Linked DNA regions of Drosophila melanogaster. The protein of the gene in region 2 interacts with the protein of the main gene of each other region in a pairwise test. Each region holds a gene or a part of one and is shown on either strand. Other genes may lie near its edges.

The links. The genes of interacting proteins can lie anywhere in the genome.
Region 1: the proteins of CG11164 (region 2) and Nipsnap interact in a two-hybrid assay, tested with the Drosophila melanogaster proteins (one large-scale study listed by BioGRID).
Region 3: the proteins of CG11164 (region 2) and MESK2 interact in a two-hybrid assay, tested with the Drosophila melanogaster proteins (one large-scale study listed by BioGRID).

What each region holds. Positions count from the first base shown.
Region 1 is NC_004354.4:16,067,979-16,076,861, forward strand, and holds Nipsnap (nipsnap), read right to left. Parts: upstream 5,591-8,883; 5' UTR 5,532-5,590; exon of another isoform or gene 5,454-5,531; 5' UTR 5,425-5,453; intron 5,305-5,424; exon of another isoform or gene 5,123-5,304; 5' UTR 5,105-5,122; coding exon 5,049-5,104; intron 3,923-5,048; coding exon 3,743-3,922; intron 3,554-3,742; coding exon 3,260-3,553; intron 3,200-3,259; coding exon 3,057-3,199; intron 2,891-3,056; coding exon 2,742-2,890; 3' UTR 2,387-2,741; downstream 1-2,386. Other genes in the region: dpr18 (defective proboscis extension response 18), read left to right, coding at 737-950, 1,013-1,337, 1,395-1,519, 1,586-1,716.
Region 2 is NC_004354.4:13,666,122-13,673,669, reverse strand, and holds CG11164 (uncharacterized protein), read right to left. Parts: upstream 5,657-7,548; 5' UTR 5,584-5,656; coding exon 5,223-5,583; intron 5,151-5,222; coding exon 4,489-5,150; 3' UTR 4,097-4,488; downstream 1-4,096. Other genes in the region: CG15760 (uncharacterized protein), read right to left, coding at 1-425, 490-1,183, 1,242-1,434, 2,224-2,369, 3,021-3,110; DNAlig4 (DNA ligase 4), read left to right, coding at 5,930-6,242, 6,310-6,474, 6,534-7,444, 7,507-7,548.
Region 3 is NT_033778.4:21,498,746-21,506,982, reverse strand, and holds the start of MESK2 (misexpression suppressor of KSR 2), read right to left. Parts: upstream 4,887-8,237; 5' UTR 4,504-4,886; intron 837-4,503; exon of another isoform or gene 648-836; intron 1-647. Other genes in the region: TAF1C-like (TATA box-binding protein-associated factor RNA polymerase I subunit C-like), read left to right, coding at 5,438-7,966; CG46395 (uncharacterized protein), read right to left, coding at 8,170-8,237.

The DNA of each region.
Region 1 (8,883 bases), 2.4 Mb from region 2:
CTACCTATGTGTTCACGGATTTTATTTACTTTATTTACTGTTTTACTTTATAAGACAAAACAAAAAGCAAGTTTTTAAGCCATTAAACCCCTTTTTTGAATAAATATAATTTAGTTACTATTCAATTTGATTGCCTTTCTTAATATGTTTACATCAAACATACAATGTATGTATGTATGCATATGGCAACAAAAAACACCCACCGCCACCACCATTGCATTGAAACTCATTTGTGTATGAGTACTTTTTTACGGATGTGTGTGTGTGCAATATCGGTAAACCAATAAACGCACAAAAATTTGCCCATTTAACCATAAATATTATATTTATTACATACTCATTACACAGGCCTGCAAGTACTCACTTATTATCATTTTACCTAATTGTTGGCACTTTTAGGAGCAACGAAATGTACAAAAACTGATTTAATTTAATTGTTTCGCGGCAGCCATTTTCTTTACCGATGCTCGCAAAATATGACAATGAAATGAGAGAGAATAAGAAGAAGCCGATGAGAGAGCCTATTTTCTTTTCAGCTATTCTCATAATTCGATCCTCCCGTTTGTTTTTGTTAAACCGATAGTCGTGAGAGAGCGCTTTGAGAGAGATAAATGTGTAACGTGTTTTACCGTTTCGACTATTTTCTTTTACTTATCATATGTACGAACATACATATGTACATATATGCCCAATCTTGCGGTTACTTTAAATAAGATTTTGAATTTCCAACTTCCAGGTCATGTGGGTCAGGCGAACGGCAGAGAAGGTATCGCTCCTGACCGTTGGCAACGTGACCTACAGTGGAGACCCGAGAATTCGGGTGAAGTTCCAGTACCCGAACAATTGGCGATTACTTATCAATCCCACGCAGACTGAAGATGCCGGAGTTTACATGTGCCAGGTTTCCACCCATCCCCCCCGGGTATTCACCACAAATCTCACTGTCTTGGGTATGGATACCACCAATTCTAACCTTATAACGAATCCTACATGGCAAGTTTTCCGCTTTCAGAACCCCCCCTGAGGATAATCGATGAGCACGAGAGGGACGTGGGGGATCGTTATTATAAGTCTGGAAGCACCGTCGATCTACAATGCCAAATATCGCGTAGCTTTTTCCAAAAAGAACGTCAGACCATTCTAAAATCAACCGATTCTGCAAACGATGCTGTACAGAAACTAATCAATGAGACGACTAGTGAGCTTAATCTAATTGGCAACGTAAATCAGACGCAACACAAGTTCTCTGGCCAGGATCTGGAGAAATACTTCACCAAGTTTATAACCTGGGCAAAGGACGAAGAACCACTGCAAGGAATGACCAATAGGCGCTTAAGGTAGATTACAAACGATGCAAGTCGGAATTCCTATATACTGTGTCCTGTGTATTGCAGCGTTTCCGATGTTTGGCTAACCAGTCGTATCTCCATTGGAGATGCCAAACTATCCGATAGTGGCAACTATTCCTGTTCCCTTGGCAGACTGTTCACCGTAATTGTCCAAGTTCAAGTGCTCACAGGTAATTAATTAGTGATTGAAGTTTCGTGAAAATCATTTCCCTGATATGTTATATATATCTTTACAGGCGAACTACCCGCAGCTGTTCAGCACAATATTGGTTCAAGAACCGAAATCTATTCCCTTGCGATGTTGGGTCATCTCCTTGTACTCATTTTCCTCTTCACTTGCCTGAAAACCGAAAATCGACATTTCTGAGGCTTTAATCTGAGAAGGGACTGCGGAAAACCCCATAGCCATTCGATTTTCACAAACAATTAACCAATAATATTAGGTATAAACGAGATTGGCTGGTTCTAAACAACGGTTTTAGTTTTAAAGTTGAGAATCAGAAGGTGATTTCATTACATATTTTTGTTATAGTGCCTACGGTGTATAAGACTTTAAATTTGTTTGGACAAATATTCTTAAAAATTTGTTTAGAATTGAATTAATTAGGCAAAAAGATGACATAATAACAATTCCAGATTCCTAAGAGCCAAAAACCCAATGGTTTAAAAAAAAAAGTTTCTCGAACTTTTTTTCTAGTTAATTTAGTGATGATGTTGAAATATCGCACACATGTTATATGATGCCTCTTAAAGAGTTAAGAAACTGGCGGGGATAGCAAAATATTTCGTTTAATTTTCTGTGACTTTTAAAAGTTCATAGAATATGTGCATTAATTAAGTTTGAGCAACTAAGCAGGCAAATCAAATGTATCATACGTTATTATTATGTTATACCACTAATTCACAGGATAACAAGTTTTTTCAAGAAAACAACGATCTGATTAAAACTTTATGCGGTATACTACTTTTTCATCACCTATTATTTTGCTGTTTGTAATTACGGAATTGGGTGGTTCTGCATTTTATTAGAGATGTTTCAATTAATATCCAATACCATTTACTATATTTTGGGATCTGTTTTAAAAACTAACTTATAACAGTTTCATAATTGCTTTATTTTATAAAAACAAAATTGGTTTTGTTAAATTCAAAGGTCGTAGGCGATACACACATAGAGGTTCGTAAAAATGTTGGATAGAAATTTCCACTTTGACCTTAATTATACTTAAAAAAAAAATTAAATGATTGCATATGTAGCTGGCATTATTTACAATAACTATTCAACAGGAAAATAGGCGAAGATGCGTTCTCGGTGTTTTCACAGCTAATTTGTCCAATCGTCGATGAACTTCAATTTCTCAGAACGCTAGAAAGTGCAACACCCAGTGCTAATTATTGTGAGGGCGAGAACTCAGTGGGCGCCAGGACACGGCAGTGCATCTCGCGGATTAATGGCACCGTGTAGGCCACACACTCATCCCATCCGGGGGATCGCCAGGCTGCTTCCCGGGTCTCCTTACGGTCTTGCAGAGATTTGTAACCTATTTTGAAAAGAAGAGCAAATATTAATGTTTGCTTTACAGCTTATATAAAAATATGGCTTCAAAAATTGCTAGTGGCTTAAAATATCCTTTAAACCATTCTAAACGTATTTGGCAATGAAACTCAAATTACTCAAATCTTTTAATTATACTATCTATCACTTACACCAAATGTGATGAACATTGTACAGTCTTCCGATCTGCGAGAAGAATCCGGCGAATGCTTCGTTGTTGTGCTTGCGATAGTTGATGGCGCGGGCCCAGTTGTTTCCCCACTCAATCATGGTGCCAGGTGTCAGTCGGTATGAGCTGAGACAATTGGGTTAATTTAGCTATGCATTTTTGAATTGAAAATACTCTGCAACATACCGCATTTCGTAAATGTTCTTGCCGGTACGACTGGCAATTTGCGGCCAGTAGCTGAATGCCAAGAGATATTGCAGATGACGGGAGCGCAAGAACTTGGAACGCTCCTGCATCAAGCTAAGATACTCGGGATCGTTCCAAAGGTCTTCTTTGGCCTGATCTATCTTCTCGAAGCCTCCTGTGTACTTCCACAGGTGCAGGCACTGATCCATGTCGCCCACTTGAACCGTCCATGATGCCACCAATTCGCAGGAAAGGTTTGCCTTCTTCTCGTTGATCAAAGCGACAGTAGTTTTGCTGTAAAAGGTAAGGGTACTTTTAACAATCTATGCTACTTTCGGGATTTAAAACCACCCGGAAATGTGTTTGAAAGTATGCTATCGAAAATGGACAACGCTTTCAATGTTTATTCTTTAGCTTTGAGTACTCTGCACCTATTTAGTTCTTTTAGGCACCTTTTAAGGACGTTAAATTTCAGTCACTTACTAGTTATTTAAGTAGCTGCCCATGGAATCGGGCCTGACGTTGTGGGTATGAAGGGCATATATGATTTCCTTATCGCTGAGCATTCGACTGTGCGACTCCTTGGTTGGTTCTATTTTCCGAACGAGCAGTTTTGAGAACCATGATTCTGAATCGTTGCGGCTCGGAGTGGTGGACAGAGAGCTAAAAGTATCAATAATGGGTAATTTAAAAAGGTTGGCATAATAAACAATTACAAAATAAACTTACAATATCTTAATTGTATTCTGTATAAGGTAAGATATATTGGTAATACCTAAAAATACATTTTTAAATGATATGTTCTAAGTCCAAACTCTCTAGATAACGTTTTTAATAAGTCTATCTTTCAGATCGAAGATATAATATTCAATTTTTGGAAGGCCACTTATCAATATTAGCTATAAGTAGGCCAATTGAATTGGACCGTGGGCAAAAAATAGATAAATAAGGAGAACGCTATTTCCTTTACACTGAACTTACAAATTAAGAAAAGCTACCCCTGCGTATTATTAACTTTTTCGAATTTTCCAGGGGCAAATGTATTCATAACTTAAAAATACAAAATGCATATATAGTACGGCATTTCATACATGAAGGGTAACTAAAATTCGCACCGTCGTGTTTATTTTGTTTTTGTATACGTTTTTGCTTTGCTGACGTCGCAACGGCATTTTCATTTATGTATGGATGTATACGTACGAAATTGGAACCAAACATACATATTAACGTGTAGGAGTGTGAATGCTAGTGCTGGAAAGGGTACGCGATTTGTGTACCTACAAGGACGGTACCTGGTAGGTACTCTTAATGCTAAGTATGACGGCTTGGAAAATGAGTAAGCAACAACTACTCTGCGTAAATTTAATAACATGAGTTTAGGGAATTCGTGAATAATATATTTAATCTAAAAGACTTAAAATGACTAGTAGTTGAAAAACATAATGTTAATAAAAATGAACCCCTAGGCTGGAGGAAAATTGAATATGAATACCATTAAATATCATTATTTTAAGATCCTTATAAATACTGTTATTTATATATAAATAAGTAAGAATTAAGAATTAATTTTGTTATTTCAATCTAAAAAATTTGAATATACGAGTATATATTCATTGCCTATATTTCATTTGGATTCCACGAATCTGGGCAATTAATAAGTGCCACAAGCTGATATCCAGGTACAGGTACCTGTGCCTACTCGGCAACACTGATCAAATATGTAAATGGACTCAGCTGTGGGCAATTTTTGTGTTCATTTTTTATAGTATATTCATGTTGTTTTTCTTACCGGACAGCGTTGTTGTTGCTTTTGCCGACGGCCAATAGATTACGTAGCTTAAGCATTTTCGATTTATGTAGGATCTGGCGAGTATATATGTATATAGAGCGATATGGGGTGAAAACTGGAAAATAAAATCAGTAACTGTTATCATCCCGATTCGCCATCTCTACCACTGCAATGTGTGTACATTATGTGTACTTTAGTCAAGGTGAAGTCAGAGTCATTTTAACAAGTGCGCCGGTACATGGTCTATGGTAGCATTGATAATAGAGAATGTAGAGCGTTCTCTCGTTTCAACTCTGTCCGATTTCCCCACCCGCTTTAAATTCAGCAATTATTTTGGAAAAATAATAAATGTTTCTCTTTCCACACTAGCACTCACTTTATAGTTATTTGCGGGAGTGTTACAAACTAAAATAATATTTAAATGAAATGTTAACGTTAAAAGAAAACAAAATAATATGCAGTAGAGCTGTCTTAACCACTGACCGATTGTATCGATATATCGCGTCCATGCGCTTGGCTATCGATATGGACCTAAGAGTTAACAAAGTAGTCGTCTTTTCGATTGCATGCTATAGCGATAAGGTGTTTTAGTTTTTTGCGGTCACTCTGAATTAATTACGTTACATTTCAAATTTGTTTAAAAGCTGACTTTGAAATTCATAGTTTTTAAAGCGAAAATGGGTCATTTTGTTAATCTAGGACCACTCTTCTTCTTGGCCGCTCTCATGCTCAAGTCCGATCTGAAAGCTCCTATCCTCGTTCAGTTCGTTTTCTTCCTTCGCGAGCATCGGTAATAGAAAAAATGGCGGTTCGGCGTGCCAAAATGAATTAAATCAGTTTTAATGTTTTTCGGTATTAAAAAGTACTGAAAGTTTGTTAAAATGATAATCAATGAGTGATCGCACACTGCTAAACGCATTTTAACTCATTACTTTTCTTTAAACGATTTAATTATGTGATTTACACGCACACGCGTTTGTGCCGAGAAGTACATATGTACATACTTATGTGTGTGTGTGTAAGTAAGCAGCTCGGCTTGATCTGCTTTTTAAATTTGAGCGCGGTTATATAGTTCACGCACACACGTTTCCGCGGAGAAGTACATACATATGTGTGTGTGCGTAAGTGAGCATATCGGTTTGATTTGTGTTTTAAATTTGAGCGCGGTTATATAGAGTTCATATTTATAATGCTTGCTTATTTATTAAAACCCGACAACCACTTTTGTATGCTTAATACTTTTTGCGAATATATATATAAAATGTATTGCTATAAATTTCAAAATGAAATACACCTGAAAAGTGGACCAAAAAAAGAAAATGGCGAAAACGAACATTTTTGTTCTGCTTTACTTCTCCGCCCGTTTGCTTTAAATTCCATTTCGTTTTCTACCTTCGCCGGTGATTAAAACGGTTACATTTTGTGTTTTTATACACTCGGGCGTACATTAATACATACCTGAGTTAAAAGTGAAATTAAAAATAGCATTTCTCAATATATCGGCCAAAGGAAGGAAATATAATTAAATAATTTATTTGAGCAAGAAGCTAAAAAGTGTACATAATCATAAAGCGGTGGTAAGTAAAAGTTATTTTTATTTCAATTCATACCTGTTAATTTACGATTCCTGAAATCTAAATATATTACGTATACGTAAACGGGGATAAAAAAGTAATCCAAATCTAGAAACGATTTCAATAATTTAAAATCACGACGAGTACGCGGTGAAAATCAAAATCCGTGCCTAGGAAGGGTAAAATGTATTAATTTATTTATTTACATAGGTAAGGTAAAAAGTACTCAACTAATTTACCTTGGTACGTACCCGTAGGTACCGTTTTTGAGCTTTTATTTTGCCGTGAGTACTAATCTTGTAAAAGGACATCTGTTCTCAGAATACTGAATAAGTATGCAACAGTGCGGAGAAAACATCAAACTCTTTTTTTGCATTTTTTTTTTTTTTGCTTTTTGTTAACAATATCCAATTGTTTAAGTCGGTGATCGAAGCAGATCACTGTTTTTTTTTTATAAACAATGCGTTTTAATTATACGATAATCTTTATTCTACTAAAGGTAATACGAAAAATACTCATATGGAAGTTATATTTGTTACTATACATAGTACATACATTTTATATTATTAACCTCTATGTTTATTTTCACACACGTAAGGGGTTTTAAATTGATTGAATAGTTCGGTACTAAGAATAGATATACATACACGATTATTGTGTGCTAATGAGGTCACACATATACATTATTTTGTTATTGTTTTGCATGTATGTACATCGTTATTGTAATCACTGATATGCATTAATTTAATTACTTTCTCTTTCGGATTTTTCTGTTCAACGAAAGCCATATATGTACATACATATATCAATCGGTACCAAAATCTATTCGAGTTGAAGTTTAAAACATAATACGTACATATGCAGTGAATGTATGTATGTATGACTTCTCAGCCTTTAATTATAATTTTCACGTTGTTTTTTTTTTCTTTTCAATATACATACATATAAACATATGCCTTATTTAACAGAAAAGAACAGTAGAACTCAGATCACATAAAAGTTCATATCCATTTTTGGTGTTTAGTTGGGAATATACCATATGTAAAATCTAGACACACATGAGAAAATATCTTTTATCATATAAACTTTTTTTAAGCCCGATAACGTGGAAAGAATATAACACTTATAATAGAAAGTACAGTTGCTTATACGTTGATACTTTTTCAGTTGTATTATGATAAACTTATGTCATATATCATATATTTCATAATATACTATTTGTATTTCCGCTAACATCCAGAGCTGTGACCACTAACCAATTTTCGGAAATTCTATTCAAGAGTCTGGTTGGTAATGCACATTTAGATTTATGTTGGAAATCGCATATCAATAAAACAAGTTACCTAAAAAAATATATAAAAGTTACATTCGTAAATGAGTTTTCATCTAACTACCTATCAAAATATCTGTACTTATGAACCTTATCGAAGATAAGTGGGCTTAAATATAGTTGATTTTCCTATTTTTCTTTTTGTTTTTATTACTTTGCATTGCGTGAGAGATTTCTCTTCGTACATTTACATACATATAGAAACATATCTGAGGTATAAAAAGCTGTATTATATCTAATTTTTTGGTTGTCCTCCTTGTAGCTAAATACATGTACCAATGTCGCACTTTACTTTAGTTAGTGAGTTGTTTCTACGTCTGGCTTGATCTCTTGATTTTTGTTGACTTCTTTAAGTGTGTTTTAAAATGTTGCTTGGTGTGGATTTTATTCATCTCATATTGTAAAATATGTTTTGGTTTTATTGTTTTTTTTTTTTTTGTTTTCGCTTTTGTATATTTGTGTGTCTACCATAATGGTTCATTATTTGCTTATTAGATCGGTCGGATACAATTTCATCTCGATCGAGTTAAAATTTTAAGTTGGTGGACATTGATGATTAGGCGGATACTTTATCTAAATTTCCCCATCTATATACATATACATATGAATATTTTGCCATTTCTACAGCGGTTTTTCACATCTCTGTATCGCGTTCCTTATCTGTGCCTTACATTGTTATCACAATCACAATAGAATAGTTCTTATAAGCCAGCCATCCCGTATTCTCGTCCAATACTCTCCATTTCAAATTTCATATCCATATCTATAACCATATCCATTCCATATCGCTCTACGATTTAGATTCAGGTAAGGATAGATTGGCAGATTGCATACATCTTGGGGCTTTTACTTGTGCCATATTCGTACTTATAGAGAATGGCATGTGAGACAATTTCTAACACTATGAATATTTGTTCGTTATTTGGTTTCA
Region 2 (7,548 bases):
GTTCGAGGGCGTCGATAGCGTATGCTGCAGCCGGGGCTTGGCGCCAGTTCCGTTCAGCAGTAGCTGCTCGTAGCTAACGCCCGCCTGCAGCTGGCGGATCTGGTCGAGAATCTCACGCACCTCGCCCGTCGGACTGGTGGCCTGAGGCGGCGAGCCCGGTGTTCCAATGTTGGCCAGACTACTCACGCCGGACACCTGAGCCGATGGCTGGCAGCAGTTCTCCAGACTATGCAGCGGGTTCGGTTGGATGCAGCCATTGCTGTATATCACCGGTGTGCCAGATCCTCCCGATGTGCCTGCGGCACCCGTTACCGATCCTCCCAAGCCGCCCATTGCCAGGCTATTCAGGGAGGCAGCCTGTGTTGCCGATCCACTTTCCGCGCCATGGAAGGCACCACCAGCTCCTCCGCTTTCGGGTAGCATTCCTGCAAGAAATCATATAACAATAAATAAGTATTTTAATAGGAAATTCCTTATCACAATACCCACCTGCCACACAGCTGTTGTTCACAAAGATGTCGCTGAGACTGCTGCTGCTATTCGCCATATACCGGAAGTGCTGATCACTCTGGGACTGAAGGTAGCCCACACCAACGCCCACGCCAACTCCCTCCTCGTGAGATGCATGCAGCCGCGTGCTGTAGAGCGCTGCTCCGCCCGGTGCACTGCCCAGTGCCACGGTGGCATAATGCTGGGCCTGCGTCTGGGCGGGCATCAGTCTCGGCTGATAGGCATCCGTTTCCACCAGCTGGGATGCCGATCTCGGCATGGCGTAGTGCACAGATGCCAGCGGAGCATTTGGCACCTGATGCGATGGCGCCTGTTGTTCCACAGATCTCAGATGGCCATTCCCGTGTCCATGGGCATTTGCATTGGCATTGACATTAGCATTGGCATGCGCATGGGCATGGGCCACATAATGATGCAGTCCTAACTCCGGACTGGCTGCCCGTGAGTATGGTGGTGGCACCAGGGTATTCGCCTCATTCGCATTGCAAATGAAGCTGGAGCTTAGGGAGTCGACGGTGCTGGCCGCACTCAGGGATCCCCCGGCAGCCGGACGGACGATGTAGTTCCGGAAGTACTGCACCATCAGGTAGCTGGAGCTGCCGTTGCCCTTGCCATTGCCCGAATCGCTGTTGCAGGTGAAGACAAGTGGATACAGATCCGGCTTGGAGGTCACCTGAGAAGATGGAAATTGTTAAGCGAATCGATTCCGGTCATGTATATGATTACATTACCTCCGTATATGGCGGCGGCGGATGGTGAAACGAGTTGCAGCGACTATATTGTGGTGGTGCATAGCAGGAGCCGGCGGAATCGCCCTCGGATTGGGTGTGGTGCTCATTGAATCCCCAGCCGCATAGTGTCCGCCGCTTCTTCCATAGTGAGTAGGCACACAGGATGGCCAAGATGATGGCCACAACCACGCACCTGCAATAAGAATATAGATTTTCAATCAATCTTTGTAATATCAAAGTGAGGATCGTTATTCACTGCTCGGTTTGCAGCTGGCGCGACTGAATGAAGAAGCCCATTGGAGTAGTGGATGCGGATGTGGGTGCGGATACGGATCCGGATCCGTGTCCTGCTGTTCCCGTAATCGAATTCCGACTGAAATTTGTTTGCCTTTTCGATGGCCAAGAGATGGGATTATATGAGCTGGGTGGCGGTGTGCGGGTTCCGTTTGTGTCTCATTAGTTGGCATTGCCATTTCCACAGCCCCCAAGGGAGGTGGTCGGTACTATGTGCTGGTCGCACTGATGGTAGTGGTGGCATAGCACGGGGGTACAGCTTGCATAAGCCTCTCGACTTGACTCGACATTTGACTTGACGCAACCCCGTCGCTGGGCGCCACCTTTTCTGCCAATAATAATAATATCTCTCGCATGGCACACAATGCCAATCAGCTGGAAGTCCGGCCAGAGCACACTGAAAACCCACGCCATCCAATCCATCCCACCATTCCAACGCCCCAAAAACCCGCCTCATTGAACGGCCTTGCAGACGACCTCCGGGGAATCCCCAAACACAAAAACAAAAACAGTGCAATTCATGATGACCGTGACCATCGCAGTAGCTAAATAAATCACTTCTACTTTGCGCAATTAAAAGAATCACTGTCTCCGAAAGATTCCTATTATTTTACAATTTCGAATAGATAAGTTAGATAGACAGAGAAGTTTCCAAAAGGAGGAGTTTCTCCGGGTCAACACTACTCACCAGAAAAACCAGTGGGTGGCGAAGAACAGATTGAGAACATGCGAGTCCGAGGAGGGCGGAAGGGGGCGTGGCCCGCCCTGGTACGGCGGACAGCAGCCCTGGGTGCAACAGCCCTGAGTGCAGCCCTCGCAAAATCTGGCAGACACCTGGGAAAATGGAACAAGACATTGCATATATTATTCGTTTAATCATGAGAAATATTTGCACATTTTTTATGATAAAAAATAATGTATTCCACTTTTTGTCGATACACCTTTGAAATTGTCATTGCCAATAAATAAAGAATATAAACAACAGCTTGTTATTTTTGTGGTGTTTTTGTATAGCGAGCGACCACTGTACTGCGCCCTTGTTCTTGTGCTCATATTTATGTTTGTGTGCTATGCATTTATTACCGTTGGGAAAGCAATCGCAATCAATTTAAAATTCAAATGTGCATGCAACATGGATGCGCTTGCGTTTATTTAAAAAACTTTTTACAAAGATTAGCTGTTATCTTTTTTTAAGGCGTTTCGTGGGCCCAAATTGCAACAAGCGCACAATAATTGTATTTAATCAAAATATTACAGTGTTGAAAACCAAAGTTTAAATTGCTCGCACATACAAAGGTTCCCAAAAGCATGCAGTGAAACGTATAGTGTCTTGTTTTAAATGAATTCACAAGCGATTTTTATCACCTTGACAATTTACATGTGTAAAATGCGCTTAAAAATTAACTACAGCATAACATTTCGTTGTTTTTCGGTTATTATGCTAGTTTGAGTGCTTGCAACATTGATGAAATGAAGGGCACTTACGTTCGCTGGCAGCAGCCCCAAAAGGAGGAACAAGGAGAGCAGGAGACACTGCAGCGCGTTTGTGTGCGAGGGAGAGGGACGGAGCCACATCTTTCTCAGCCGCTGACGCTGCCTCAGTCGACGCCGCTGTCGCAGTTGCTGCTCGGACTGGCGCCAAATGTCCTACGGGGCTGGTGAGGGGAGGAGGTGCGGGGAGTGTGTGCCTCTCCCTTATTTTCTTCGATTCTTCGCTTTCTTCTTGTCGCAGCCTCCGTTTTGTGTCCGTTTTGGCCCTCGTGTGCGATTTGTTCCTGTCTTTTGTTTTGCTTTCCTATCTGGCTTTCTACTTGCTTCTTTTGCTGTTGATACTTTGCAGTTCCGTTATTTGTACCACATGCTGTTGTTGCTATTGTTGTTGTGGTCGGACTCACACAAACAGCGCTTTGTTTTGTCCTTGACAGACGCCAAATGCAATTTACCGTAGCATGCTTTTGTGCGTTGCGTTGCGATTGTTGGTGTTGCTGCCGTTGTTGTTGCTGCTGCTGCAGAGAAGAGAGAATTTGTTGCTAACTGAGTGCTGCATTGTATTATTTATCTTATGCCACACCAACCACAACACATTCGCACACACACATACACACACACTAAGGCACAAACACCTCGACGACGCCAAAGAAAATTTTCTTTCGTGTGACGCCACTCTTTTCCTTTCTCTGCCTTTCACAATTTAAACTTGAGCACTGGCTTTGGGACACACGGCTAACGGGAAAATTCACTAATGTAACCCCTGTAATTGTTGTTCCGAAAATTCAAGGCATATAGAAAACAACAACAACAACAAGAGCAGGAGTAGCAGGATATTCGGTTGCGGGCGAATGGGTAACGGGGGTGGCGAAATGCGAATCAAGGCGCAAAGCGGAATTCACCGTTAGCCTCGAACGTGGGAGCGCGCACAGCAACAACTGAGCGACAAAAACGGAAACAAAGGAGCCAGCAGCTTTGTAACTGACGGCCAGGATTGCCACCCCGCGCAATGAACTAAGGATTGAAATCATATGTGTTGCATGAATCCCCAAAAATTAATTTCGTTTCTAGTTAGTTTTATTAGTATACTCTGATTTCATATGTTTAATTAGCATTACTTAATATGCTTATATGGTATACCTAAAAAAATATGTCGACTAAGAAACTCTTTATTCGCAACATTTGGCACTGAAGCCTCTAAGTAAACCAATTCCTTAGAAGCCTGGCAACGCCAACAGCTGATGGGGATTTACCAAACGGAATCAAGAGAGATGATCAAACAGCGCATGCGCCAAAAAGGCGCACTTTCAAAATACCAAATTTATGAATACAAATCTTAAAATAACAAAAGTAATTCTTTAAAGTACTATATTCATTGTAAAAAAAAGTGTACATTTGTATTAAATAGAGTATATATATAAAATAAGGAGTTAAAACCTATTCTTAAGATCTGTGAAACGTTAATCTACTTCGCTTTGAAAAACGATGCGATGCTTTTAGTGCCCTTGGCTCCTTTGGCCAGGGCCTTCTCCTTGGCGGTCAGCGAGCGCTCCTTCAGAGGCGCCGCTGTGGGCGATGTGATGGTGGCATTGGGATCGCCATCGCTGTCCACTAGACCGCTGGACTTTAGCTTGGCAGCAGCATCGCTCTCATTTAGCTTGATCTTCTTGGAGTCGCTGCCCTCGTTCTTGCCCGCCACCGACTTGCGCTTCTGAGAAGCTGCTTTCTCCTCAACAATCGCCTGAATCTCGCTAGGAATGTGCAGGTAACTGGTGAGCAAGCCGTGCAGATCCGCATCCAAATACCGTCCCACATAATCGCAAGCCATGCGCGTGTAGTCCATTTCGTTGCTAACGTTCTCAGCTACCAGTTTCTCGCTTCGCACGAAATTCTGCGACTGCGCACTGTGGCCGCAGTGGACTTGCTTCTCCTTCAGGATCTTCGCCACCTGGCGCGTCTTCAGAGCCAACCAAGCCAATGTGCGCTCTTGGTTGTACTTGTAGAACTTCTGTTCGCCAGAGCTCTTCACATCTGCCACGCATTTAAGGTTCCCTGGGTCGAGGATCTCGTTAAGCAGACGACTGGTGCTGGCCTCCTCCACGGCAATGTTGTCCAGCGATATTGCTCCTGATTGTGGTTAAAGATTTTCAAGAATACAATAGTATAGTATACCATCGAAAGCGAATGATAATATCTTACTTTGCGCACAATGTTTTCGGAGGTGATGAAGAGCCAGGAACGTGGGATCCACGGGCGCGGTCATGTAGATTCTGCCGTTGGAGCAGACCTCGCTGTCCACGAACCAACTGCGTCGGGGTTCCGTGAACGCCACCAGCTCCATCATTCTGCCATCGGGATGGGTTATGAACAGTGCCTCCTTGCCATGTCCGGGATGGAAAAACATCTCCAGCCGAAGGTGTCCGTCGTCCGCATCTTTGGGCAGCAGTTCCTCCGACATGAAGAACACCTTCTTCAGTGCCGAGGCCTTGCACATCTTGGCAGATCCCTCCGCATCCGGATCAGCTTTTGGTTTTCTCGCTCGCGTTTCCTTTTTGCCCATTTTCTCGAATAACTTGCCAAGCGTGAAGCAAAAGTCAATAACTGTGGACCGAACCAAAACAAACGATTTGCCGCCTTTTTGGTTATTGATAGAAGTCTATCGATTAATTTTGGTATTTTATATAGTCTGCTAATTTTAACTTGTTCCTATAAACTATTTTATCTATTTTATGCCAAATAGAAGAGCTTAAAAATTAAATAATCTCTGCCACTAACGTCCGCATCTTAATATTGCAACTAGTCTAAAATGGGTATTAACTTTGATTGAGAAGCGCGGTCACATTGCTTGAACAGATGTTCACAGTGATGAAATTGTTTACAACAGTATATTGTTTTTAAACAACAAAATGAGCGTAGATATAGCCAGCACGATCAAGTTCCGGGATATTTGCAGCCTGTTCGAGAAGATTAAGGCCACGCAAAAGGTGGCTAACAAGGAGGAGGTCCTCAAGAGCTACTACGAGTCCTTCTGTCGCCACCGCGAATCCTTTCGCCGGCAAACCGGATTAAACAACGACCAGCCGGAGGACGGTGCCAGTAGCTTCTATTCCGTGCTGCGACTGCTGCTTCCGGGTGCGGACACTGGTCGGGATACCTATGGATTGCAGATCACCGCGCTGGGCAGGCTCTACATCAGGGTGCTCCAGCTACCCACGGACTGTGAGTGCAGAAACGTATTGGCAATGGCATTTAGGCTTATTTAGAATCTCTTTGTTGTCTCTACTAGCCAGCGATGCCATCAGGCTGCAGCACCGCAACGGAAACATGTACCGGGACTACGGTGATGTTGTTTATTCCGTGCTTAAGCCAAGGTGCTTTAATCCGCCCAGCAATTTGAGACTGAAAGAAATCCATCAGATGCTGGACACCATTGCCAACGAGGACACAGAAGGTGGGCGCTTTTAAACTGATCTGAACGACTGAACGTCTTAATGAGACCGCTCTTTGCAGTTAAGCAGCAGCAACTCATCCGGTTTACGGAGCAGGCCTCGCCTGAGGAACAGAAGTGGCTAATTCGGTTGCTGCTTAAGAGCCTCGGGCTGGGGATCGGTGAGCAAAAGATTTTCGGTGTGCTGCACCCCAAGGCGCAGGATATCTACCAGCGCTGCTCCGATCTGGGACATGTGTGCAATCTGCTGGCAGACCGAACCACCGACCTAGACGCCAGCAGCAGCAAGGACAGCAAGGCGGCGGTCAAGTTTGTAAACCTGAATTCCGTCATACGGCCATTCCACCAGATACGTCCCATGCTGTGCGAACGATTCCCCGGTGACATCCAGGAGCTGATGCAGTCGGATGTGCTCTATCTGGAGACCAAAATGGATGGCGAACGCTTTCAGCTGCACATCGATCGGGGTCGTTTCATGTACATTTCCCGCAATGGAGTGGACTACACCAGAAACTTTGGTCACAGCTACGATCACGGCACCTTAACGCCAAAGCTGAGGGGACTTCTGCCGCTGGGTCTGGAGTCTATCATACTCGACGGCGAGATGATGGTGTGGGATACCAACAAACTGCGCTTTCGGGAAAAAGGCGAGAATACGGACGTGAAGAGCCTGAAGCCGGAGGGCAGCTGGCAGCCATGTTTCGTGGTGTACGATCTGCTATATTTTAATGGCCAGAGTCTGCTGGACCATACCTACATTCAGCGGGCGTACAAATTGCAGAAACTCATAGTTGAACAGTCGGGTGTGCTGCAGTTGATGCGTGCACGCAAAATCGGTTCCGTTCAAGAGTTCAACGAGCTGTTCCAGCAGGCACTCGACTCCCACGCCGAGGGCATTGTGCTAAAGAAGCAGGGATCAAGATATCAGCCTGGCGTTAGACTGGGCGGTGGGTGGTACAAGGACAAGGCTGATGTGAGTAGAGTCATTTTTAAGTAGAGTGCTTTAATATGAACTCACTTCAATTTTCCAACCAGTACATCAAAGGGCTGATCACCGAGTTCGATGTGCTGATCATC
Region 3 (8,237 bases), on a different chromosome or scaffold from region 2:
GGGCATCGCTTTGACGAAGCCAGCACCAAAATTCGGTTAGTTATGCTCAAAGTCATACGGTAAAGCGATCAACTTTTAAACTTTATGGTTAAGAAACAGCGATAATAAGCCAGGGCCAAATAAAAATGTATTCAAAATCCAAACCCTTTAGTTGTTAATCGATTTCTTTTGAGAGAGTGAGATAAGTTTGAAGAAGTAAAAGAATAGTCAAATGTAATAAATTCCACATCCTTATTCATAGAAGTAAATCAAAGCAAGAACATTTTCTATTCCACATCGAATCGATAAGAATGTTCTTAAACGTTCCAGTGAGTGCACTATGTGACTTGACATGACATGAAATAAGCATTATTGGACTTATGTTAATCAGAATCTGGTGCACCTTAAAGATCAGCCGAATCTCAAGACCTTCAACCTCACTTTCTGCCATCACTATCCAAGCTCCACTGCAGGGGGGAGCACTGAGCTGGGGCGTCAATGCTCGTACTTGAAACAAAATATGCAGGCCAAGCCGCGAGAGGAAGGCGATGTGGGTATGTGGGTTTTGGATCTGGGTTTGGGATTGGGGCACACAGAGACTGCTGCAGCTGCAACCCCCCCGAACCATTCCCATCTCCTACGTCGCCAATGTAGCACATATGCATTACATTAACCCAGTTTGGGCCAAGGGTTGAGGCCTGCTCTCCACGTGCCCTGGCTTGAAGCCAAAGTGGAACGGAGGCATGAAAATTTCACACATCCCCGGGAGGCCACACACATCTTTTCCTCCTCCCGTTCTCGTTCGTCGTGTAGTATTTTTTTTTTTTTTTTTTGCACTGATTAAGTGCGTCATGCGGCTCGAATTTATCAACTAATAATCACCGGACAGCAACGAAGCAAATGCAAACGCTTCAAGCACTCCAAATGCTATGACGCAGCTCCAGATACAGATAATTATATACATGTTATGTACTGGTTGGTCACTGGGCAAGTGTATAAGTTCAAACGATAAACAAAACAAAACTCGTTATGGCTACTATTTTTTGCGTCTTAGGTTTTAGAACCCAGTCAAGCCAAGCAATTTGAATTCATTTCCGAGCTGGGACCTCAGTGCGTATGATGAATGTGGCTCCAGGGTAAACATACAGCAAAATGTATACAAGCCGGATGATTTGGGATGCCGAGCCAGAGTTGTTCTAGAGTTTTATTATTCAAAAGCCAACGACTTAAGTATTTTATTGCTCATTTAGCTGCAATGGTAACTGCATAATTTAGCCATTCGAATTGAAACTTTAGTCATAAAATCACGACGTAAAATGAAGAGAATGGCATAAGTCGTGACTTCCAAATGGAACGATGCATCGCTTTTATGGTTTCCAGCTATCTTATCTTGGTAGCTGCGATTCAAACTGGATTCTTGACTCTCCAATATCTTTCGAAACATCTCATCAAGCCTTATCTTTGGTTAAACAAATAACTAAGTTAAGTAAGTAAGTACAGTGAAATCATACAAGACAATTCTTTTATCAACTGTTATTGAAAGGAACATGCTTGATTTCAGCTGATCAAATAAAATGACCAACTTTTATGGCATAATTACTGGTTTTATCAACCATATAACTGATGAATAATCACACAAAAACAACAATGATTTGTTGCCCTAGTCTGAAAACCTAAACACAAATGACACCGCATTTAAAGTTGCCAAGTACATGGGCACTCGCAAATTCCGCGGCCATCCTTCGCCACTAAAAAAGCTGTTAGTCTAGCTCAACTTTGACCTTTTGCTGCTCGATTTATGGGCGCTGATAAAGTTGCGCTTGCACTTTTCACCTCGACCACACGAAATGGTATATGATATAATGGGCCTAGCGCCATATTTCTACATATATATGTACATATAATGTAGTAATGTATAATGTACTATAGGCTTATTGGTGGCAAGCGATTTATCAGCGGCATCTGGGCCACTTCAATTCCAATAATTGCAGCCCAGCGTGTGCCATTTATGGCGAATTATTCATAATTGCGATTGCACGTGAAGAGTGCAGAGGAGGAGCTTGAGGTGCAAGCAGCGTGGAGCCATTGAAATTAGCCATCGGCTAGAGTGGGACGGCGACAGGCGAACGACGTGCCCTGGCTTTTCCGTTTTTCCGGCCCGGAGCGAAAGGAGCGCACGGAATATCGACAATTTGGCAGGTCGCCCACGGCAACCGTTGGCAGGTCAACGGGCAACAACAAACCGAAGCTCAAGACAGCAATCTGAACTCAATCTACTGCTGAACTGTGTACTTGATTGGGATTCAATGCTACTTCGGATTTACCGACTCAGAAGACTAAATAATTACGATTTTTTTTCTTCTGAGAACAAAAGTGATTTACATAATCCTTGAGCTTTTGATTTGCTTTAAATGTATCTTTTTCTACTTAGACGTGAAAAGAGATAATTTTAAAGGAAGTCTGCTGTAGTTACATACATAATTCATTGTTAAATTATCATTTAATACGTTTAATGGCTCTTGTTTTTTGTAAGATCTTTCAGTGTTCGATTTCCTTGGAAGGTGGCTAACAACAAGTTCTCTGCTGCCCCTAAAAATACTTGCTCAACTATTGTATTGACTGCAATTTGTCCGAGTCCTTCAAGGATATCGCCTCCGATGTGGGAGGGGGTACAAATTTGCAAAACAGAAATTATTCAAATGTTCTTTGGGGGGCGGAGAGACAAGATACCCCATCGGTAGGGGGCGTGGCAGGGGTTCTGGGGCACCGACAACGGCAGCAAATCACATACAGGAAATGTCACGCTATGTCAAGCCGCAGGCCAGCAGGAAAAAAAATCGTACAGCCGAAACGAACCAAATCACACGCTCAACGTCAGAGCGTGTTGTTGCAGGATATGGGAGAATATCAGTTGGGTAGGTGGGAGGCTAGGGGCGTGGCACGGTGGGGCAATGAGGGGCGGCGCAGGTTGCCCTACTGTTACGTGTTTGCAATCGATTTGAAAGTTACATAAAAACAGAGCCGCAGCAGACCAAGGGCAGAAAAGGGAGAAGGTGCCAGGGAAGTTGGTAAACACCTGAGTGGCCAACAAGAGCGTCAACAACAACAACAACAAGAACAACAACAGGAGCAGCAACAAGGCGCCAAAAGCAATTTGTGCGGCGAACTTTTTATTGTGTTTGCCTTCTGAGTAAACTGACCTACGCATTAAACATGCAGGAAAGTTAAACATCAGATATAGATACGTATACATACATGTATGTACTGGACTCAGATACTCAGGAGGACGAGACGAAATCCTGTCCATGGCGATGGCGCCGACAGGTTACAGTAGAGCCGTTAAAGTGGAGTCCTCACCCATTCATTTCCACACCCAAAAACCGCTAGAAGCAATAAAATTTCACAAAACAGCGAATAACAAATGTCTGCAGGAACAGTAAACACTGCCAATAGGTAAACCAATTAGGGCAACTATTAGAGATAACAGTCAAGTCGCTTTTAATGAACAACCCCATTATTCCATTTCGCTTTTCCTTTGTTTAGTTAGGAAAATTGGTCGACTATTGTCTAGAAAATCAACTCGAAGTTGATTTGAGGTTTTTTTGCGAATTGCCTAGATCGTCAAATTTCTTATTTAACTTAATTGCAATTCAGAATATGGAAAAAAGGTGTAGGAATCAAGGAAACCTACTAATTTAGAATCCCAGGACAACATGCAACCGCACTTTTTTTTACTGGCATAACTTGGTTTTCAGCACACAGGCTTCACTGTGGCAGCTGCTGAAATGATTGCGGCGAAGTTTTCTGGAGGTCGTTTAGAGTGGAAAAGCGCCAGCTCCGAGAGAGGGAGAGCGATAAAGAGGAAGAGAGACGGAATGGAGCGAAGGGGAGGGCAGCAGGGGTCCATTACGTCAGAGCCAGAAGCCATTTGGGTTTTGTCAAAAATTAGCAGTTAGGAAAAGCGAGGAAAACCCAAACGAAACCAAAGCCAAACATACACAAAAAAAAAACGAATAACGAATAAAAACGAACATCATAAATGGATGAATTAGTACAGATATGGCGAGCAACAAGAACAACAACGACAAAAACGTGCATACAACAACTAACTGTTAACTAAGTAAAAAGAAGAGTGCGCAAAATATACAATAGTGCTAATTGAAAAACAGATACTGGGATGCAAATGAAAAGTTTTAGATGAGGCAGTGTGTTTTCTTTTCTTTTTAATGGGGGCGAGCGCAGAGAGAGAGAGACAGGATAAGACAGAGAGAGAGAGAGAGAGAGAGAGAGGGAAGAGTAATAGATAACTGCAACAAAACAAATGCAAGCGGAGCGAGAGGGAGGGGAGTAGGATTAGAACTGGTTAATGTTATCTTCCAGACCCGCCCCTCTCTTTCACACCTTTCCAATTGGCATTTGTTTTGTTGTCTGTTTGGCACTTGTATGTATGTTAATTGTGCCCGTTGTGTGCGGTAGTGTAGGTGTGAGTGCAGGTGTGTGCGTGGTTGGATTTAAAAAACTCACCTGACGCTTTCCGTTGCTTTTTCTTCTATTCTTTTGTAGGCCTCAAAATTGAGATAAAAACTACTACCGCTTTTTACCAACGCCTTCTTTTTGGCTAACAAAAAGAGACCGTTGTTTTAACTGCACTGTCTATGAAAAAATCAATATTCGGTCTCGACCAACTTTTTTCTTCACCTTTTCTTTTACAACTTGTGTAATTTCTGTGCTCGTTCTGTTTCATTCACTTATTCTCTCGCTCTCGCGCGCACGCACACACACACACACGCCCGCTGTTCGCGATTGCCAGTAATTTTCGGGGATCAATTTCTTGTAATTTCTCCAGCTGCTTTCAAGTCTTTAATTCTCGGTCTCGATGCAGCGCAAAGCAAATTTGATAGTGATGGGGAGAAACATCGATGCATCGGGAATCGATGTTTTCATATAGGTGCTATCGAGCTAGCCGATATTTTAGAAATAGTATCGCCGACCAGCGATACATCGTCGCTTATCAAAACATCGGATTCTTAAATATTTTTGACTTAAAAATGTAAATGTTACTTATTATTGGTGTCTAAAACCTTTACATTTCTTTAAAAAGGTATTTTACGATGCTTTTTTTTTCAATGTTACATTTTTGCACTTCCAATGTAATGTAATAGATAATCCAAAACCTATATTATTTTAATATATTGTGAATATTTTGCTTGTAATGCTCATAACAGCAAGCATGCGGTTGGGTAGACATAAATACCCATCACTAATCAGCTGTTTCTTGCGTCCAGAGGAAACGTCGTGCGTTTGGCGTTTGATTGAGTCAAATTCAATTTGTTAACTAAATTCTTTCGTGCAGAACTGGATAGCTGATCGAAGAAATCCGTAAGCCAGGCTCACATGCATCAAAACACATCGGCCAGCTAGCAAAATCCGATTTCTTATTTATACTCCAATTACAGACATGCCGCGACGCTATCAAACAGCTCTCAATTCGGCCAAATACAGTGCCCAGGTCAAGACCAAAACTAGTGACAACGAATCCGATTCCGAAGATGATCTTCCGCCGGATCAAGATGCTGAGGATAACAATGAGCCAGATAATCTGCGCAGCATTTTGGAAAATGCGCCGCACTTCTCTTATCCCGGCTTGAACACTGGAATGTTGGGCCAACTCTTGTACGATCATCAGGATAATCCGAAGCAGGACTTGCCAAATTGCTCGGTTACGGTGCCGCTACCCCTCTTCCTGGCAAAGGATGGACAAACTCCCCGAGTGGAGGCATGCGTCCAAAGGCCATTCCGCTACGACGATTGGACACGGCAATTGCAATTAGGCAAGGCTATATTTGATAGGCGACTTAAAAATATGAGACAGCGTGTACAGAAGCAGGAGCAAGGTGTACACGATGCCAGTCTGTTTGAGATGGCTGAGCACATAGCCCAACAGGAGAATTCCTTCTTCAGGGACAGCTACGATTACTACTACACAGGCGGAAACCTAAACACGATTCCGTTTGATGGAAACGATCAGCTGGCCATGCATGTCAGCGGTAATAAGCTCAGAGATTTGCACTTTTCCCGAGATTATGGTGAGGCGGAGTTTTGGCAACCATTGCATTCGGCTACGATAGAGGAATCCTCCAGCGAAGTCTTTGAACTTCTTCCGCTCCACAATTTAAATCGCAGTCAAATGTTCCTGGCACGGTTGCTGAAGGAGGTTTCCCTATACGAACTTAAATGCAAAGACGAACAGGATTCGGATTCAGATTACGAACTCATTCGCCATTGCATGTTTAGCAGTCAAGTAGCTCCTTTTACAAGCGCTGCACAATCATTGGCCAATGCCAATACATTGGCCTTAGCTAGCCAGGATAGGTCTTTGCGCTTCGTGGATATTTCGACACAACAGGATATAGCCAAGCTTGATGTTTGCTTGCTAAAAGGACTGAAGAAAACCTCGAGTACCTGGGCACAGTTAAAGCAAGCAGAGGAAAGCACCTTTCACTGCCTAACACAGCCAGTTTTGTTTACCGTAGATGTGCGATGCAATCTGCCTCTGAATCCCTGCTTTGCCAGCGGCGTTCACTCAAAAGCTTGCGAGAGGTTCTCTTGTTTGGCCAAGGGTGTGAATCCTAATCTCTTGTATGTGGCTAGTAATCACAACTTCCACTGTTTGGATATCAGATGCTTGGGTAAAAAGCTGACCGATCGAGCTGTCGTCACCTGGACGCATCAGATGACCTATCCACCCTGTTTTATTGACACAAGCGTTCACCAGGACAGTGAATATATTGCGTTAGGTGGACTCTTACCCAAAGATTTGCGAATTTGTGAACTGCAAGGAGCTCAGGCAAAAAGTGTCGATGAAATGTTCTCGCCGGCAATACCATTTGCGCCGGTAACCCTGGAAGAAGCTTTAATAGATGCTCGCTTGGGAGGATTTGTGGATGTCTATGCTGATATAGCAGAGCGGGTAACGACCTGCATTACAGGAATGCGCTTTATTGGCTTAGAGGGGGCCAGTGATCAAGCTTTTACCCAGTTGCTAACCTCCAACAGCTTGGGAGATGTTTACTGCCAAAGACTAACGCTTAGGGATGAAGAGGAGCATGTCCAGCAGATCAGAACCGGAACTCATACAACGGAAGCCATTCGCTACCTTGCCAATGCCGTTAATGAGCGCGTCCAACGCGAGAACATCCGCTGCACACAAGTCCAGTCGATACCAGAGATAAGAGACATCTTTCGAGATGGTGCCAAAAGATCAAAACCTGAAGAAAAACCTTTAATCGTAGAGGAAATCGAAATTGACTATGGCATAGAAGATACTGATGTTTCAGAAGATGAAAGCCCAGCCTCTGAAAAGGTAAAGGAAGAACCTTCGGAATCCAAGAAAGGTGGTAAGAAAACGCCTAAGAAAAAAACCAAGGTGAAACCAAAACGGCAACCCAAAAGGAAAGCTGCCAGTAAGAGAAATGTTAAAAAGCAGAAGAGCATCAGTCGCGGTCCCTGGCAGAAATCCGCTTACAAGCTGTCCCACTACACGGACATGATGTCGACCCGTTTGCTGGACGTGTGGGATATGGAGGAGTACGACACCACACGAGACGTAACAAGAGAAATGTTCGATGAGCGTATAAAGGGGAAGGAGCTGGAACCTGAACAACGCATGGCCAATTGGTTGGAACAATTGCCCAGTCAGACAGTGGTACCCACTGAGGACGAGGTGACCGAGGGAAATCCCGACATGGTTCCCGGTACAAGTCTACCAAAGCTATATGGCGCCACTACAGCGAACTATTCAGTCATTCCAGCCCTTAATTCCGATCAGGACATCGGAGAGCGCCTTTTGAGTCCCAAAAAGGAATCGCCTGTTGAATTTGGCCGCGAGTATTCTATCTTGCTGCCCGGCCAGAATACTATCATCGAGGACTATCCCTGTGCCCCGCCAGCTAAGAGGCCCAAGGTTAAACACGTAAAGGGTTTCTAGCTTAAGTTAGAGTTGTTAACCTTAATTTAAATTTAACAAAAATAAATAGCAGATTATAAAGTATATTAAATAGAAGTAAGTAGATTTAGAATTTAGATTTCTGCCAACAATATTAAATGTTTTTTATTTTTTATTCGATTGCAATAATTTGAATAACACAACACACACTTCACATTAGCCCATCCCGAAAACTTTATTGCTTGTTATACTTGCCATTTTCGATTGATGTCACTGGTTGAGGATGTATCTCCACCAAGATCGGGTTCGTAGG